Oryctolagus cuniculus: one gene and its partners. The protein of the gene in region 1 purifies or fractionates together with the protein of each later gene. This does not show direct contact. Links are inferred from orthologs where the notes say so. Each region holds a gene or a part of one and is shown in the gene's direction. Other genes may lie near its edges.

What was found. Proteins that work in one complex are often made in the same cells at the same time.
Region 2: the proteins of POLR2L (region 1) and POLR1E purify together in Homo sapiens (affinity purification with mass spectrometry; 3 studies listed by BioGRID and IntAct, with this or other methods). This does not show direct contact. The link is inferred for Oryctolagus cuniculus from reciprocal best matches to the Homo sapiens genes POLR2L and POLR1E.
Region 3: the proteins of POLR2L (region 1) and POLR3K purify together in Homo sapiens (affinity purification with mass spectrometry; 3 studies listed by BioGRID and IntAct, with this or other methods). This does not show direct contact. The link is inferred for Oryctolagus cuniculus from reciprocal best matches to the Homo sapiens genes POLR2L and POLR3K.

What each region holds. Positions count from the first base shown.
Region 1 is NC_091432.1:352,610-357,307, reverse strand, and holds POLR2L (DNA-directed RNA polymerases I, II, and III subunit RPABC5), read left to right. Parts: upstream 1-2,228; 5' UTR 2,229-2,298; coding exon 2,299-2,393; intron 2,394-2,995; coding exon 2,996-3,104; 3' UTR 3,105-3,231; downstream 3,232-4,698. Other genes in the region: CD151 antigen, read right to left, coding at 4,398-4,457, 4,530-4,616. UniProt on the Homo sapiens protein: DNA-dependent RNA polymerase catalyzes the transcription of DNA into RNA using the four ribonucleoside triphosphates as substrates.
Region 2 is NC_091432.1:200,289,140-200,295,022, forward strand, and holds the start of POLR1E (DNA-directed RNA polymerase I subunit RPA49), read left to right. Parts: upstream 1-2,385; 5' UTR 2,386-2,507; coding exon 2,508-2,583; intron 2,584-3,071; coding exon 3,072-3,175; intron 3,176-4,405; coding exon 4,406-4,482; intron 4,483-5,883. UniProt on the Homo sapiens protein: Component of RNA polymerase I (Pol I), a DNA-dependent RNA polymerase which synthesizes ribosomal RNA precursors using the four ribonucleoside triphosphates as substrates.
Region 3 is NC_091450.1:34,569,177-34,575,071, forward strand, and holds the start of POLR3K (DNA-directed RNA polymerase III subunit RPC10), read left to right. Parts: upstream 1-2,397; coding exon 2,398-2,508; intron 2,509-4,563; coding exon 4,564-4,651; intron 4,652-5,895. Other genes in the region: SNRNP25 (U11/U12 small nuclear ribonucleoprotein 25 kDa protein), read right to left, coding at 66-123, 404-478, 902-1,007, 1,112-1,202, 1,923-1,964. UniProt on the Homo sapiens protein: Core component of RNA polymerase III (Pol III) which synthesizes small non-coding RNAs using the four ribonucleoside triphosphates as substrates. Can mediate Pol I proofreading of the nascent RNA transcript.

The sequences.
Region 1 (4,698 bases):
TGGTGAGACGGAGACCCACGGCGGCTGGGAGCCTCGGCGGCGTGGTGGCAGCCCTGCCAGCCCGCCCACGGAGGCCCCAGGCTGAGCCGGCTCAGGGGCGGCTTGGAGGAGGCGGCCAGCACCTCCAACACAAACAGACCGAGGTGTCCACTCCAGGCCCTCAGGGGTGGGCACCACAAACCCGGGGCCCAGGCGGCCTGGCGCCTGCACACAGAGGCTGCACACATGGCCTGGGCGGGACCCGGCCCGGCTGGAGGCTGAGACGGCTCTGCCACCGCCTGTCCCACGGGAGGCCAGCTCCTGGCTCAGCACCCTGGATCACACGGGAGTGGGGGAAGGGCGGGCCTGCCCCCCCACGCCTCCTGGCCCGGGCAGCTCACTCCCATCTGCAGACGCCACAGCGCAGGGCTGTGAGGGCTGCGAGGGGCTCTCAGCGGCAGCACGTGTGAGCTGTCCACACCCGTGTTCCTGGCCCCGTGCGGGCGGCATGCACACAGCACACGCCAGCAGGCAGGAGTAGGGGTGGAGGCCGGGGTCCCGGCACGAGCGTCCCCACCCTGCTCAGCCAAAGTCTTACAGACGGGGAAACTGAGGCTGCGTCCTGGGGACGAGGGGCAGGGTCTGCGAATCCCGCCCGCCCCCCCCCCCCCCCCCCCCCCGCGCACTGCCCCTGGCTGCCCAGCACCCACCGCGGCCCTGCCGCTGGCCTGTTTCCAGGGCAACGCCCGGGGGGCGGGGCTTGGCAGCTGAAACCTGTCACGAGTTTCCCGGTCCCCTGCCCTGACGTGACCCCCCCTCCTCTGGCCAGCACCACCAGGAAAGCCCCCCACCCTCCCCAGAGAGGCCCAGCTGCTGCCCCCCACGCCACCACGGGCCAGGCCAGGGCTGACCCCTCGAGGCTCCCCAGCAGGCGCAAGTGCAGAGGGGGCGGGGCGCGCTGGGGGACATCCGGGAGCCCCCCCACCTCAGGTCGGCACGCACGCGGAATCCCAGGAATGCCGCCTTGGCCAGGGCCCCCGCAGGGGAGGGCGGCTCACTCCCCCACTCCCACAGTAAACAGCGGCGCCCAGTGGGAGCAGGGGCGGGGCAGGCCCCTGACCCCTCCCCCAGGAAGGCCCCACTCACGCGCTGGGCGCCCACCGGGCTGGCCTCCCGGACCCGGGCTCCCTCTCCTCCACAGCCGCGGCCGCCGAGCCTGGGTCTGACCCCAGGCCACGGTGACTCACGGCCCCATCCTGCCCCTCTGGCCAGGGCAGGATGTGCGTCCACTCAGCCTGGGGGAGGGAGGCAGAGAAGGGAAGTGGCCAGGGCTCGTGGCTCCGCACGTGGCCGAGAGGGCACTAACCCTGGCAGGGCAGTGGCTCTGGGCAGCCCCACTCCGGACCTGAGACCCTTCGTCCCCGTCCCTGTCCAGCGTCTGCCCTGAGCGGGCACTCAGCAGATGCCGGGGTCCCGCGTGAGGACCCCGCCCCGGCCACACATCCAAGGCCAGCAAACCTGGCCAGAGCCCCGCGGGGGCCACGGGCAACACCCCCACAGCCCTGCGGCTCCCCAGCCCGCCTGGGGCAGCCGGGGCACCAGGCTCAGCCCGGTCCACCCGGGAGGCAGCAGCCCCGCCCGTGGAGCCCCTGAAGGGGACGCACAGCTGGGGCTGCCCCTACGCGGGGGCCCTGGCCTTCGAGGGTCAGCTCAAAGGGGCTGACCACACGCCCAGCGCCAGGCCCGGGAAAGAGCGAACAAGACGCCGACAGACTGCCGTCGGGGCTCCCAGCAACTCCCCGCGGGGACCCGAGCCTCGCGCAGGGCTCAAGGGACAGCGACCGGGTCCAGGCCGGGCCGGGCCGGGAGGCGGGAAGGTCCGTCCGAGGCCTCCCGCCCCGGGGCCAGACCCTCTCGCCGGGCCCCTCGCCCGGCCCCACTTGTTGCTGCGACCGGCCTGGGGCTCCGCACTGGAGGTGGCGCTCGCGCGCCGCGGCTGATGTCCGCGTCCGGGTCCAGCCGGCGCCCGCGTAGTACCTGGGCCGCCGCCTCCCGCCGCCGCACCGCGTCGTCCGCTCCCGCCGCGCAGCTGTCAGTCAAGCGGACACGAGAAACGCGAACCGGCGCCGCCGAGCCCTTTTGGCCGAGCCCAGTCGCCGTAGCGCGGCACGTACCAAACCGCCGGACGGGGGGCGCCGCCGGACGCGGCCTCCAATCGGCGCCGAGGAACCCCGCGCCAGTGGGCGCGCCCGGGGCGGGGCCTGCAGCGCCGCGGACGGGCCCGGCAGTGCGCGGGGCTGCCGCGGAGTGCGCGCCGCCATGATCATCCCGGTGCGCTGTTTCACGTGCGGCAAGATCGTCGGCAACAAGTGGGAGGCCTACCTGGGGCTGCTGCAGGCGGAGTACACCGAGGGGTGAGGCGCCGGGCGCGTGGGGCCCGGGGGCGGGGCGGGGCGGGGACCGGGCCCACCCGCGCCTCCTGTCCCGCGCCGCGGGCTGACGCGGGGCTGCGGCGGGGCGGAGGGGCAGGGGCTGCTTTGCCGAGGCCCCTCGGTCGCGCCTTCTCACTCCCAAGCCGCCTCCTCCGCCCCCCGGAGCCAGCGCTGCAGGAGTTTTCTGGAAGCGTCTCGTTGGTTTCCGGAAGTAGAAGGGTGGCTCCCTGAGAGTGGGGGTCCCGCGGGGCTGCGGTCGTGGTCGGGAGTCCCGGCCCCCGGGGGAGGGGGCGCCGGGGCTGCCCTGGCCACCGTGAGCCCAGCCTGGGAGAGGGCGGGCCGGGGCTGGGCCGGGAGGCTGGAGCCTCTGGGTGGGGAAGGGGTGGCCCTGGGTGGCTCCTCCCCGGTGCATCCTGGGGGGACCTGTCCACCTGGCCTGGAGCAGGGGCGAGCCCGGCTGTCTGGTCGCAGGGATGCTCCGGCCGCTGGGCCCGGGCTGGGCCGGGAGGCCGGAGCCCCCGGGTGGGAAGGGGCGCGCTGGGGGCGAGCCCGGCGCAGGCCGCCTCACTGCTGTCTGGTCGCAGGGACGCCCTGGACGCCCTGGGGCTGAAGCGCTACTGCTGCCGCCGAATGCTGCTGGCCCACGTGGACCTCATCGAGAAACTGCTCAACTACGCGCCCCTGGAGAAGTAGCGCCGCCCCGCCATGGCCCGCGGCGTCCTGCCCTGCGTCCTCGCGGCCGGGCTGTCAGACGCCGGGAGCAGAGGCGGGCCGCGCGCACGCATGTCGCCAGCCGCCCAGTAAAGTCCTTGCACAAACACCACTGGTCCCCTCCTTGGCCTCGCTCCGCCCCCCCCCCCCCAGTCCACCTGGCCCAGCTGTCTCGGGGTCCTGGTTCCTGCTCCCTGGTCCCCGCCCACCCAGCGTGGCTGCTCGTCCGAGCCTGCACTGCCTGCTGCGGTCAGCGGCTGCCCTTGCCTGGGTCCCCACCCTGTGGCCCTGTCGGGGTCGCACCAGCCCTGAGCGCCCTCAGGCTCCCGGGGGCCCTTCCCGGGCTGTCCCTGCGGGCCCAGGCTGAGGGCCAGGGAGCAGCTACTCCCAGCAACCCACACGGGGCCGAGCCCGCGGTCAGCTGGGGACGGGGACCAGGGCAGAGCAGGGCCATGGTGGCCGAGCCACTGCTGTCCCCAGGGTGTTGGCCGCATCGCAGAGCTGTCCCCGGCTCCTGGCAGGACCTGCAGGCCCCTCGTCTGCTCACTGCCTGTGCCACAGTGACCACAGTGGGCCCAGGGCCAGCTGGAGACGCCAGCACCCCTACGCTCAGGCGGAGCCCCTCACACCGGCCCCCAGCGGTGCCCCCGCCCAGCCTGCGAGCCGGGTCCACCCCTGCTAGCCTGCGCGTGCCTGAGGCAGGAGCTTCACTGTCCACTCCACGCACTTTATTAAGCCCGTCACGTGACAGACTGGGGTGCAGCAGGCCCCCGGCCCCACACAGGGACCTCCTGGGGGAGGGGGCAGAGGAGGGGGCTTGGGCTGGGCAGGCGCACTCCAGACCCAACACAGGCGTCCAAGGGTCCCCCAAGACTGTGGGAGGGGGCGCTGCTGGAGCCGCCCCCCCCCCCCCCCCGCAGAAAGCTGTACAGTGAAAGGCACTTGGCCGCCTCTGGGTGTGAGAGGCTGGCACGGGTGGGGGCAGAGGCGTGGCTTCCTCAGGGTCAGTAGTCTCCACTCCGCAGTGGGGTGCCGGAGCCCAGGCCCCCCAAGCAGAAAGCTGAGCAGCGAAAGGCACTGGGGTGTGGTGGGGGTCCGGGGCGTGGCTTCCTGTGGGTCAGTAGTGGGTGGCAGGGAGCCCAAGCCCCCAGACAGCCGAGCAGTGACGGGGCGTGGCCGGCGCGGTGGGGGTCCGGGTATGGGTGTGACGGGGGCGTGGCTTCCTCCGGCGTCAGTAGTGTCCACTCAGCAGCGAGGCGGGGAGGCCAGGCCCCCTCAGTAGTGCTCCAGCTTCAGGCTCCGGTACAGGCAGCAAGTGAAGAACATGCCGAAGACCTGCGGAGCCGGGCTGTGAGCGGGCGCCAGGGCCGCGGCCGCGTCCCCCACCACGGCCCGGCAGGCCCGCACCTGCACACACGCGATGCCCACGCCCACCGCGCCGATGACCCGCAGGTGCTCCTGGATGAAGGTCTCCAGCTTGGTGATGCAGCCGCCCTGGGGGTGGGGACAGGTGCTAGGGGCGGGGCCGGGGCCGGAGCCCCGCCCACCTCCACCTGGCAGACGGGGCGTGGTCCCG
Region 2 (5,883 bases), about 200 Mb from region 1:
GTGTGTGTGTGTGTGTGTGTGTGTGTGTAGTATGTGTATGTATGTGTTTTGAACCACTGTAATAATTAAGCAACATAGGAGTATACCACATTCTCAGCTGCTCTATTTTTTTTTTTTTGAAGATTTATTTATTTGAAAGGCAGAATTACACGCACACACACCTTCCATCTGCTGCCAAATGGCTGCAATGGCCAGGACCAAGCCAGGCAGAAGCCAGGAGCCTGGAGCTCCATCCATCCAGGTCTCCCATGTGGGTGCCAGCTGCCCTACTATTAACACTTTCCTTCCCCAGTTACAATCTCCATGACATTGCACTCTTGCTTGTGGGAATTCTGGCAGTGTCTGCATTTTGTAGACATGTGCGACTCTGACTCCTCTGCCCAGCCGCATAGCAGCCCATCCTGAGGACTCCCAACAGATTTGTCTGACTGGCAGAGATGTGCCTTAAAAGAGAATCAGTCTGAGGCTCGCACTGTGGCGTAGTAGGTAAAGCCACCGCCTGTGACACTGGCATCCCATACAGGTGCTGGTTCAAGTTCCAACTGTTCTACTTCCGATCCAGCTCCTGCTAAGGGGATGGTCCAAGATGCAGCCATGTGGGAGACCTGGAAGAAGCTTCTGGCTCTTGGCTTTGTCCTGGCTCAGTCCTGTTTGTTGCAGCCATTTGGGGAGTGAACCAGTCGATGGAAGCTCATTCTCTCTGTGTCTCTTTCTCGCTCAATAACTCTACCTTTCAAATAAGTAAATAAATCTTAAAAAAAAAATTAAGACAGAGGAGGGGACTAGTGTTTAAGACTCTGCCTAGGATGCGTGTATCCCACATAGGAGTGCCTGGGTTTGAGTCCTGGCTCTGCTTCTGAATCCAGCTTCCTGCTATTGCTCATCCTGGGATGCAGTAGGTAATGGTTCAAGTACTTGGGTCCTTACCACATGAGAGACCTGGATTGTTTTTCCAGCTCCTAGCTAGATATTGCAAAGCATTTGGGCAAAGCATTCCAATATGGGAGATTCTCTCTGTCTCTGTTTCTCTGTTCCTTCCTAATAAAAGCAAACACAGCATTAAGACAATTGGAGAACTTAAAAGGGGTGTGCGGATTATATAGCAGGGACATAACAATGTTCATTTCCTGATTTTGATAGTTGTACTGTAGTTATTTAGAGAGCGACCTTGTCCTTGTCCTTGTCCTTTTCCTGTAGGAAATACTATAGTCTTCAGGGGTAGAGGGATACCAGGCAGGCAACTTGCTCTAAATGGCTCAGGGCCAAAGAAAGTATTTTGCACGGTACTTGCAATGTTTCTGTAAGTTTGAGATTGGGCAATGAGAAAAATGTAATGAGTGCTCAGGAAAGGGGGTGCAGGTGTAAAGATTATTTGGAGGACTCTGGGTGTCATGGTCAGGATGAGGCTGTCTTTAAAGAAGGCAGTTAGGAGACTTTAAAGGTTTGAATCCACAGGGACAAAGGGACACATTCATCAGCTAGAAAAGACTATACCTTCTAGGGGCCGGCGCTGTGGAGCAGCAGGTTAATGCCCTGGCCTGAAGCACCAGCATCATATGGGCACTGGTTCTAGTCCCGGCTGCTCCTCTTCCGATCCAGCTCTCTGCTGTGGCCTGGGAAAGCAGTAGAAGATGGCCCAAGTCCTTGGGCCCCTGCACCCGCATGGGAGACCCGGAAGAAGCTCCTGGCTTCTGATTGATGCAGCTCCCTCCGTTGCAGCCATCTGGGGAGTGAACCATTGGATGGAAGACCTCTCTCTGCCTCTCCTCTCTCTGTGTAACTCTGACTTTCAAATAAATAAGAAATCTTAAAAACAAAAACAAAAACAAACTACACCTTCTAGACCACTCCAGAATCCTCTGCCCCAATGCCCTGAGCCTGGTGGGCCTTTCCCCCCAGCCCATCCTCCCAAGGCTGAGAGGCCACAGGTGAACATCTGGCTTTGAGGTGAGACCCAGGCAGCGAGATGCTTGCCGGGCTCTGGACAATGCTTGGTCTCAAGGGCTGCACGGCCACGTGTCTTGTATGGGACACCTCACCTCAGAGTTGGGGTGGCCCTCTGTCAGCTGCCACATTTAGCCGAGGCTCAAAAAATTCCTGTCAGATGATTCTAAATTTAAACTTGGCCTTCGAGCCCTGGGGAAGACACATTTGTCATGGTAGAAGAGACAGCCCATGCTCCACCTGCACCGCCTTACGGGAAAGTTATGCGGCAGTGGCAAGATCTTCTGGCCCAGCCAGAAGGAGCGCTGGGCCAACCAGGCTCTGCATCCTCAGGGTAGCTGTCAAGAAGGGGGCGTGGTGACGGATGAGAAGGGGCGGAGCTAACGGCGGGCGGGGCTCACGCGGCTCCTCCAGGGGGCGTGCCACGCACGGCTGCGTACTCGGCCGGTGCCCTGAGGCCACGCCCCTTCCGGTTCGCCGCTCAGCCCGGCAGCCGCGTGAGGACCGTCGCTGCAGAGTCGGCAGTTGTGGAAACTCCTGGGTTTGACGGCCTGACGGACGGGATGGCCGCAGATGTGTTGCCGAGTGCGACGTGGCTGTACTGTGGGGAGCCCGACGAGAGCCAGAAAGCTGTACTGGGTGAGGACTGCGGCGCTGGAGCGGGGCTCCCCTTCCGTCTCGGTACCTCTCCAGGTCTCCCTTCCCGCCCAATGCGTCAGGGCCCCCTGGCGTCTCCACCGCTGCCTGGGACTCGGCAAGGGGCATCCCGCAACCTTTCTGTCGGTACTTCCCAGCTGCATGAGGACATCTCCATCGCCCCCTCCCCAGGGCGGTGCCCGGGACGCTGCCCTCCCCTCCCCCGCCAGGTCTCCCACCTGCCCCCTTTCCCTCTCTCCGCTGGGCGCGGATTCTCCCTCCCCAGGTCTGGACCAGGCCCCTGGGTCAGCCTCATCCCCGCCGCCGTTTCCTCTTGTCTCAGCTGCCTCCGCCCCCCGCCCCGCTCGCCCCGCCAGCCTGTCCCCTCTTCTTGGACGGATGGACGCTACCCGCGTTTCTTTGCCAGCCCCATCCAGCCGTAGCTCCCTCCCACCATGCACCGTGGTCATTGTCGGGCGGTCCTCTTACAGTCCAATTCTCCAACGGGAAGCTGCAGAACCCGGGCAACATGCGCTTCACCTTGTACCAGAGCAGCGACTCCGCAAACCCCAGGAAGAGGAGTCAGCGGATCCTGGTAAGCGCTGCGGCTGCCAGTGCCCCGCTCTGCCTGCCTTAGGAGGCCCCTGGGGTGTGGGTGGATGGGAGAGGAGAAAATGGCTAGGGGCCTTTGGAAAAGCTCCGGCTCCAGCAGCTTGCGGCGTGGGGACAGGCTCCACGCAGCTCTGGGACTTCCGGTGGCGTGGTGGGCGTGCATTCACGTGTCCTGTCAGCATGTGTTATTGAACAGGCACTGCATCCCTGTGCGGTGAGTTAGGGAAACAGCCCCCTCCGACCTGGCGCCACTGGTGCTGTGGAGCAGGGCTTCGGTGCCTCTGTACACCGATAGGCCATGCCTGGCTGTGGCTGGCAGTCCTGTGCCTCAGGATGGTGCCCTAGAGAGGTGTGGAGTGGCTGCCGGGACACGCATCCATTAGACAGAGCTCTGGGCCCGGTGGGGAGGGTGCAGGGCGGAGTGAGCTCAGTGGCTTGCCAGAAGCCCCTTCTGGGGGTGGGTGCTTCAGTGCTGAGCCCTGAAAGGGGAGGGAAGGTTTGGCAGCCAAGATTTGGGGTTCCATGTGAAGCAGATAACAAGGACAAAAACGGAAGCAGGAAGGCTTGGCGGTTACAGGGAGCGAGTCAGCTGTGGCTGTGGTCCTGAGGGTTTAGAAAGAGCAGGCATGGGGGAGGTGGGCGCAGAGGATCAAGGCGGGCTTAGACTCTGGGCGAGGAGGTAGCCTGCAGAATCGCTTGGTTGCACACTGGCAAGTGCAACCTTCTCATCCGTCACCACGCCCCCTTCTTGACAGCTACCCTGAGGATGCAGAGCCTGGTTGGCCCAGAGCCCCTACTGGCTGGGCCAGAAGGTCCTGCCACTGCCGCATAACTTTCCCGTAAGGCTTCCTCCCGCTCAGCGCGGTGCAGGTGGAGCATGGGCTGTCTCTTCTGCCATGACAAATGTGTCTTCCCCAGGGCTCGAAGGCCAAGTTTAAATTTAGAGCCTCTTGCTTACGTCCTGTCCTGTGGTGCAGGCCCCCAGGAACGTCTCATACCCGTTAGAAGCTGATGCTGTCCGTGGCTTCCGCTTCTAAAGCCCTCTTGCCTTTCCCCAGGACTTCCCCAGATTACCTTGGAGCTGGGGGCGGGGGGGCTGGATCATCTCAGCCACTGTGGTTCTGGGTTAAAAGCTTTGGCAGATGTGAGAATGAGGCAAGATGCTCACTGCCTCTCAGCCTTGGTCATGAATGGGGTTTCTCCTGTGTTTTAGGCAGCTGAAACAGAGAGACTTTCCTACGTGGGAAACAATTTTGGGACTGGAGCCCTCAAGTGTAACACTCTGTGCAGGTAATGGTGTGGGGAGGATGATGGGAAGGGTGTGGTGCGGCACTGACACTGCTGTTTTTAGTCTATTTTAGGGGCAGTGGGAGAAATTGAGGTTTGCCAGGTGCCTGTGTGCTTGTACCTGGGGCTCTCTTGGAACGAATGCATGATTTATATTTGCTGAGTTTTCCTAAAATATGCATTTGTCGCATTGTTTATTTATAACTTTTTTTAAAAGATTTATTCATTTACTTATTTGAAAGTCAAAATTACAGGGGATGGGGAGAGAGGCCTGCGCTTGTGGCATAGGGGGTAAAGCTGCCGCCTGCAGTGCTGGCATCCCATATGGGCGCCGATTCGAGTCCTGGCTGCTCTACTTCTGATCCAGCTCTCTGCTGTGGCTGGGAAAGCAGTAGAAGTTGGCCCAAGTCCTTGGGCCCTGCATCCGCATGGGAGACCTGAAAGAAGCTCCTGACTCCTGGCTTTCGATCAGCGCAGCTCCGGCTATTGTGGCCAATTGGGGAGTGAACCATCAGATGGAAGACCTCTCTCTCTGCCTCTCCTCTCTCTGTGTAACTCTTTCAGATAAATAAATAAAATCTTTTAAAAGAGAGAGAGAGAGAGAGAGAGAGATATCTTCCATTTGCTAGTTCACTCCCTGAATGACCTCAACAGCCAGGGCTGGGCCAGGTCAAAGCCAGGAGCCTGGCGCTTCTTTGGGGTGTCCCAGGTGAGTGCAGGGGCCCAAGCACTTGAGCCATCCTCCACTGCTTTCCCAGGCCATTAGCAGGGAGCTTGATCAGAAGTGGAGCAGCCAGGGCTCGAACTGGCATGATGTGGATGGCGCTGCTGCGGATGGCGGCTTTACCCACTGTGCCACAGCACTGCTCCCATTTGTAACCATCTCACACCCCAGGGCAGTTCTCTTCTCTAATTTGGAATGTCTGATCAAGAATGGGTGGAACCTTACCTGATGCTGGCCTGGGCACTAAATACAGAAGAAGGATTTGGTAGAGACAGAGGCTGTCGGCTGGGAAAGAGGAACCTGGGGTCTCCATCGAGTCCTTGCTGATGGCAGGATTTTGGGCAGCTGTGCCCTTCACTGACCCCCAGCCTTCTGCTCTGTCCTGCCTGAGCGTCTGTAGCTCTCAGGGACGGCACAGTGCAGGCAGGGTCCCTGTGGTGGTCCCCAGCAGTGACCGCATGGAAGGGGTTCCCGATAGAAAGCAGACTGGTGTAAATGTGCTCTAAACGGCCCACACTGCCTCATCGCCTTAGCAAGACGCTCTGGGCCAGGATGATCTCTCCAGGACTCCACTTGTATTTGCCACCACGAAATTTGTGTGTGTGTACAGTGCATTCTATTGTCTTTCTAGATGTGTACACCCCAGAGGGTTCCTTGTTACAGCAGAGACTCACGGCTGC
Region 3 (5,895 bases), on another chromosome or scaffold:
TTCTGTGAAGGGGCACAGCCCAGGAGGAGCCTGGCCACTGGTGCAGGGCTGTCTTGTCTGGAGGCTCACTTCTGCCTCAGCTTTTTGATGAAGGAAACCTCGTCCCGATTGCGGATCCCGTAACTGAAAGGACAAAAGGCGCAGTGTCTGACTGCAGGTGGGTGTGTAAGTCCCCACCGCAGGGGTGTGGGAGACCCCGAGTGAGCCACAGGTGAGGCGTGCGCGCCCGCCCGCAGGCCCGAGAGGAGCAGCCGGCCGCGGTTCACTTGCACGCGTCGCCCCGAGCTGTGCAGCCCTGAGCCACGGCTGGAGAGAACCAGCAGTGCCCATGCTCTGCTCCGCTGCCTGCCATCTCCTGAGCCCCGCGGAGGCAGCAGACCACGTGACCCCTCCCTGGACTTACTCGCGGAGCTTCTTCCTGTCCTCTGTGAGCTTCTCTCCCGCAGAGGTCAGGTGGTACGTCCTCCACACGTAGGACCTGCACGGGGGGCCTCAGGTAAACTCCCGAGCAGGCCGAGCGCGGCAGCTCGGGGGGACAGTGCCGTGGGGCCTGCCAGAGGGGCAGAGGGGCAGCTGGGCCCCGCACACCTCGCGAAGGAGACAGACGGCAGTGCTGAGCTGCTGTGAGGACACGCGACTCAGCAGGACAGCGAGGCCAGCAGTGTCTGAGGAAGGGACAGGGCCACGGATGGTGCTCCAGCTGTCACCAGCGTAGGCCATGGACGGTGCTCCAGCCGACACTGGGGAGGCCACTTCTGGACACACTAGTGTCCTAAGTGTCCCCAAGTGAAGGTATCAGCAGCTCAGCTGGGTGACATGACGAGAGACGTGTAAGAGCAGCGGAGGGAGCTTTCCTGCAGGCCCCTGTGACGGGCCGTGACGGGGCTGCTGTCCCACTCACCAGCTGATGTGCTGAATGCCCCCTTCTCGCTCCTGCTTGAGCTGCACGTATCTCTGGATGGCCTTCTTCAGGTCCAGGACCGTGGCGTTCTGCACCACGACCACAGCTGCAGGGAGAAGACGTGGGGTGGGGATTCACAGCCCTGGCTTCCGCCTGCGGGTTTCCCGACGGCCAGGCCCGCTACCATCTGAAGCGGAGAGCGGCACTCACGCATGACTTCTCCGTCCATCTTGGACACTCGGACCGTCATCGCTTGGCCGTATTCTAGTGCAATCTGGGAGTTGATCTCTTCCAAAGTCACCTAGAAAGCGCCAAGCAGGGGCAGTGGGAACCCTGGCTTTGTTTATCAGCCCAAACGGAACCAAACTTTATGGAGGGCCGGGGGAGGGGCTCCCTTTAGCACCTCAGTCTCAGGTTCCACCCGACTTCTCTATTTCATGCCGAATGGCTGTGGAAGCAGGGAGAGTGAGCCCCCAGGGGCTGCTGGGGGGGGAGGAGGGAGACGCTGGGCCTTTCAGTTTGCCCAAGAGCCCCTGGTCACCAGGATCCAGGCCAGAGCCCTGGACTAAGTGGGAGGCATGTGTGCAAAATACACAAGGCAGGAACACACGGCAGTGATAAGACTGCAGTATAACACTTTTCTTAGAGGAAATTCGCCTCTGCATCTACTTATTTGACGGGGGCGGGGCGGGGAGGAAGGAGAGGGGAGAGAAACACGAGTCTTCCATCCGCAAACGGCCCCAGCACCCAGGGCTAGGCCACGCCGAAGCCAGGGGCCGGGAGCCTCACCGGGCCCCAGGCACTGGGCCGCCCTCCGCCGCTCCCCGAGGAGCGCTGGCAGGGAGCCGGAAGGGAGCGGAGCAGCCGGAGCTCCCATTCTTCAACTGTCCTTTACCGACAACCTTCTGCATCAAGTTTGGCACCGTTTCCCCTGCCCCTTCACGCCGGGCCCGGACCAGGCCGGCCGCAGTCCCCCATCAGCACCTCTCCGGCGGCAGGTGGCCGCTCTGGCCGCGCGCACCTGGATCGGCAGGTCGCAGAGCAGCGGGTCCTGCACCACCATGGCGAGACCCTCCTGGAACACGTCCACCGCTTCCGAGTGAGGCAGCGTCTCCTCTTCGTCCTCATCCTCCTCCGGCACCTCGGGCCCCTCGGCCTCCTCGGCCTGCTCCGCTGCCTCCACGGTCGCCAGCCCGGAGCCGCCGGCCGCCGGCCCAGCCACTCCACGCTCGGGAGGCGGAGCACGGACGCGGACTGGGCCCACCTCCGTGAGGACGTCCAACCACCGGCGGGCCAAGGGGCGGGGCGGGCGCCCCAACCAATGGGAGTGCGAGGCGGCTTGCCGCAGGGCCGGCTGGGAGCGAGGGTCGGCGTGTCTATTGGTGGGCTAGCGGCGGGGGCCGCCGGGACCAACGTGAGGTCGAGGTGGGCGGGGTGTCGGCGTCGCGCGGCCAGGGAGCTTCCGGCCGTGGGGGCGCGCGGGCCAGGGCGCCGCCATGCTGCTGTTCTGCCCCGGCTGCGGGAACGGGCTGATCGTGGAGGAGGGCCAGCGCTGCCACCGCTTCGCCTGCAACACCTGCCCCTACGTGCACAACATCACCCGCAAGGTGGGCCTCGACGTTAGGGTCGGCCTCCGGCGGCCCCGGCCTCGCGTCCCTGGCCTGTGGGCGCATCTGTCCAAGACGCGCGCACGCCGGCGCCTCTCGCCTGGCCCGGCCGCCGCCTCCCTTCTGGGGCTGGTTTCGGAGTCGCCTGGTCGGGGCAGGGCGGCGGCTCCAGCTCCGGCCGCGGCCGCCCTCGGTGCCGCTCCGCGTCCCGCGTGGCGCCCGGCGTTCCTCGGGCGGCCTCCGTTTACTCGCGCTCCCTGGAGTGCTCCCGCCCCCCTCGGTCCCTTCTGCTGCCTTGTGGTCCGAGCGCGGTCCAGGGCAGAAGGCCTCGGCAGGCCTCCTTCCCTGTGTTTGTCCGGCCGCCTGGCTCGCACCTGGAGCCCCGGGGTGTCCAGCCGGCGAGCCGCGCGCACTGGCCTGGCACCCACCTGGAGCCCCGGGGTGTCCAGCCGGCCAGCCGCCCGCACTGGCCTGGCACCCACCTGGAGCCCCGGGGTGTCCAGCCGGCCAGCCGCCCGCACTGGTCTGCCGTGCACCTGAAGCCCCGGGGTGTCCAGCTGGCGAGCCGCGCGCACTGGTCTGGTGTGCACCTGGAGCCCCGGGGTGCCCAGCCGGCGAGCCGCGCGCACTGGCCTGGCACGCACCTGGAGCCCCAGGGTGTCCAACTGGCGAGCCGCCCGCACTGGCCTGGCACCCACCTGGAGCCCCGGGGTGTCCAGCCGGCGAGCCGCCCGCACTGGCCTGGCACCCACCTGGAGCCCCGGGGTGTCCAGCCGGCCAGCCGCGCGCACTGGTCTGCCCTGCACCTGGAGCCCCGGGGTGCCCAGCCGGCGAGCCGCCCGCACTGGCCTGGCACCCACCTGGAGCCCCGGGGTGTCCAGCCGGCGAGCCGCCCGCACTGGTCTGCCGTGCACCTGGAGCCCCGGGGTGTCCAGTTGGCGAGCCGCGCGCACTGGTCTGCCCTGCACCTGGAGCCCCGGGGTGTCCAGCCGGCGAGCCGCCCGCACTGGCCTGGCACCCACCTGGAGCCCCCGGGTGTCCAGCCGGCCAGCCGCCCGCACTGGTCTGCCGTGCACCTGAAGCCCCGGGGTGTCCAGCTGGCGAGCCGCGCGCACTGGTCTGGTGTGCACCTGGAGCCCCGGGGTGCCCAGCCGGCGAGCCGCGCGCACTGGCCTGGCACGCACCTGGAGCCCCAGGGTGTCCAACTGGCGAGCCGCCCGCACTGGCCTGGCACCCACCTGGAGCCCCGGGGTGTCCAGCCGGCGAGCCGCCCGCACTGGCCTGGCACCCACCTGGAGCCCCGGGGTGTCCAGCCGGCCAGCCGCGCGCACTGGTCTGCCCTGCACCTGGAGCCCCGGGGTGCCCAGCCGGCGAGCCGCCCGCACTGGCCTGGCACCCACCTGGAGCCCCGGGGTGTCCAGCCGGCGAGCCGCCCGCACTGGTCTGCCGTGCACCTGGAGCCCCGGGGTGTCCAGTTGGCGAGCCGCGCGCACTGGTCTGCCCTGCACCTGGAGCCCCGGGGTGTCCAGCCGGCGAGCCGCCCGCACTGGCCTGGCACGCACCTGGAGCCCCGGGGTGTCCAGTCGGCCAGCCGCCCGCACTGGCCTGGCACGCACCTGGAGCCCCGGGGTGTCCAGCCGGCGAGCCGCCCGCACTGGTCTGCCGTGCACCTGGAGCCCCGGGGTGTCCAGCCGGCGAGCCGCCCGCACTGGTCTGCCGTGCACCTGGAGCCCCGGGGTGTCCAGCCGGCGAGCCGCCCGCACTGGTCTGCCGTGCACCTGGAGCCCCGGGGTGTCCAGCCGGCGAGTCGCGCGCACTGGCCTGGCACCCACCTGGAGCCCCCGGGGTGCCCAGCCGGCCAGCCGCCCGCACTGGCCTGGCACGCACCTGGAGCCCCGGGGTGCCCAGCCGGCCAGCCGCGCACTCTCGCGCACACATGGTTAGCGCCTGTCACTTCCCCTCCTCCTCACGGCTGTGCGTCTGCTGGGCTCCCTCCATTCTCTGCCCTGGTGGTCCTGTCCCCTTGCTTGGAGGCTGAGGACTTGTTTCTGTTAGGTCACAAACCGGAAGTATCCGAAGCTGAAAGAAGTGGACGACGTGCTTGGGGGAGCGGCCGCCTGGGAGAATGTTGACTCCACTGCAGGTGAGGGGAACCTTTTCTGACTCCGAGCTGGGAGTGGCCTGAGGTTGCTAACTGTGCCCTGTCTCATCTGATCACTTGGATGATGTAAGCACCTCAGAATGGAAGATATTGCCTTCGGCCGGTGCCGCGGCTCACTAGGCTAATCCTTCGCCTGCGGCGCCGGCACCCCGGGTTCTAGTCCCGGTCGGGGCACCGGATTCTGTCCTGGTTGCTCCTCTTCCAGGCCAGCTCTCTGCTGTGGCCCGGGAGGGCAGTGGAGGATGGCCCAAGTGCTTGGGCCCTGCACCCCATGGGAGACCAGGAGAAGCACCTGGCTCCTGCCTTCGGATCAGCGCGGTGCGCCGGCCGCAGCGCGGCGGCCATTGGAGGGTGAACCAACGGCAAAAGGAAGACCTTTCTCTCTGTCTCTTTCTCTCACTGTCCACTCTGCCTGTCAAAAAAAAAAAAGGAAGATATTATAATTATTGTTATTATAAAGCAACAAAAATAATATTTGTTATTTTATAATAAATATTATAATTATAATATTTGTTATTTTATAATTGTTACACCAAGTTTTGGTTTAAGTCTTGGAGTCATAGGCAGGGGTTATATTCTCAAGGCAACCTCTAGTTGGGGACCTTGGTTGAGTGTGTTTTTCAGATTTAGCTTTTATTTATTTGAAAGGCAGAGTTGGAAGGAGAGAGGGAGAGAGCTCTTCTGCTTTGGTTCACTCTGGAGATGGCCACAATAGCTGGAGCTGGGCCAGGCTGAGACCTAGAGCTGGAATCTCCATCTGGTCTCCCACGTGGGTGGCAGGAGCCCAAGTACTTGAGCCATCGTAGACTCCTTCCCGGGTGTACTAGCAGGGACTGGCTCAGAAGTACAGTAGCTGGGCTCAGACTGGCACTGTGATACAGGGTGCACCTGTCCCAAGCTGCACCACAGTGCCTGTTCCTGGTTGAATCTCTCTCTCTCTTTTTTTCCTTATGATCTATTTATTGATTTTTTTAAGGATTTATTTATTTGAAAGTCAGAGTTACACAGAGAGAGGAGAGGCAGAGAGAGAGAGGTCTTCCATCTGATGGTTCACTTCCCAGATGGCCTCAACGGCTGGAGCTGTGCCGATCCGAAGCCAGGAGCCAGGAGCTTCTTCCGGGTCTCCTGCGCAGGTGCAGGGACCCAAGGACTTGGGCCATCTTCCACTGCTTTCCCAGGCCATAGCAGAGAGCTGGATCGGAAGAAGAGTAGCCGGGACTCGAACC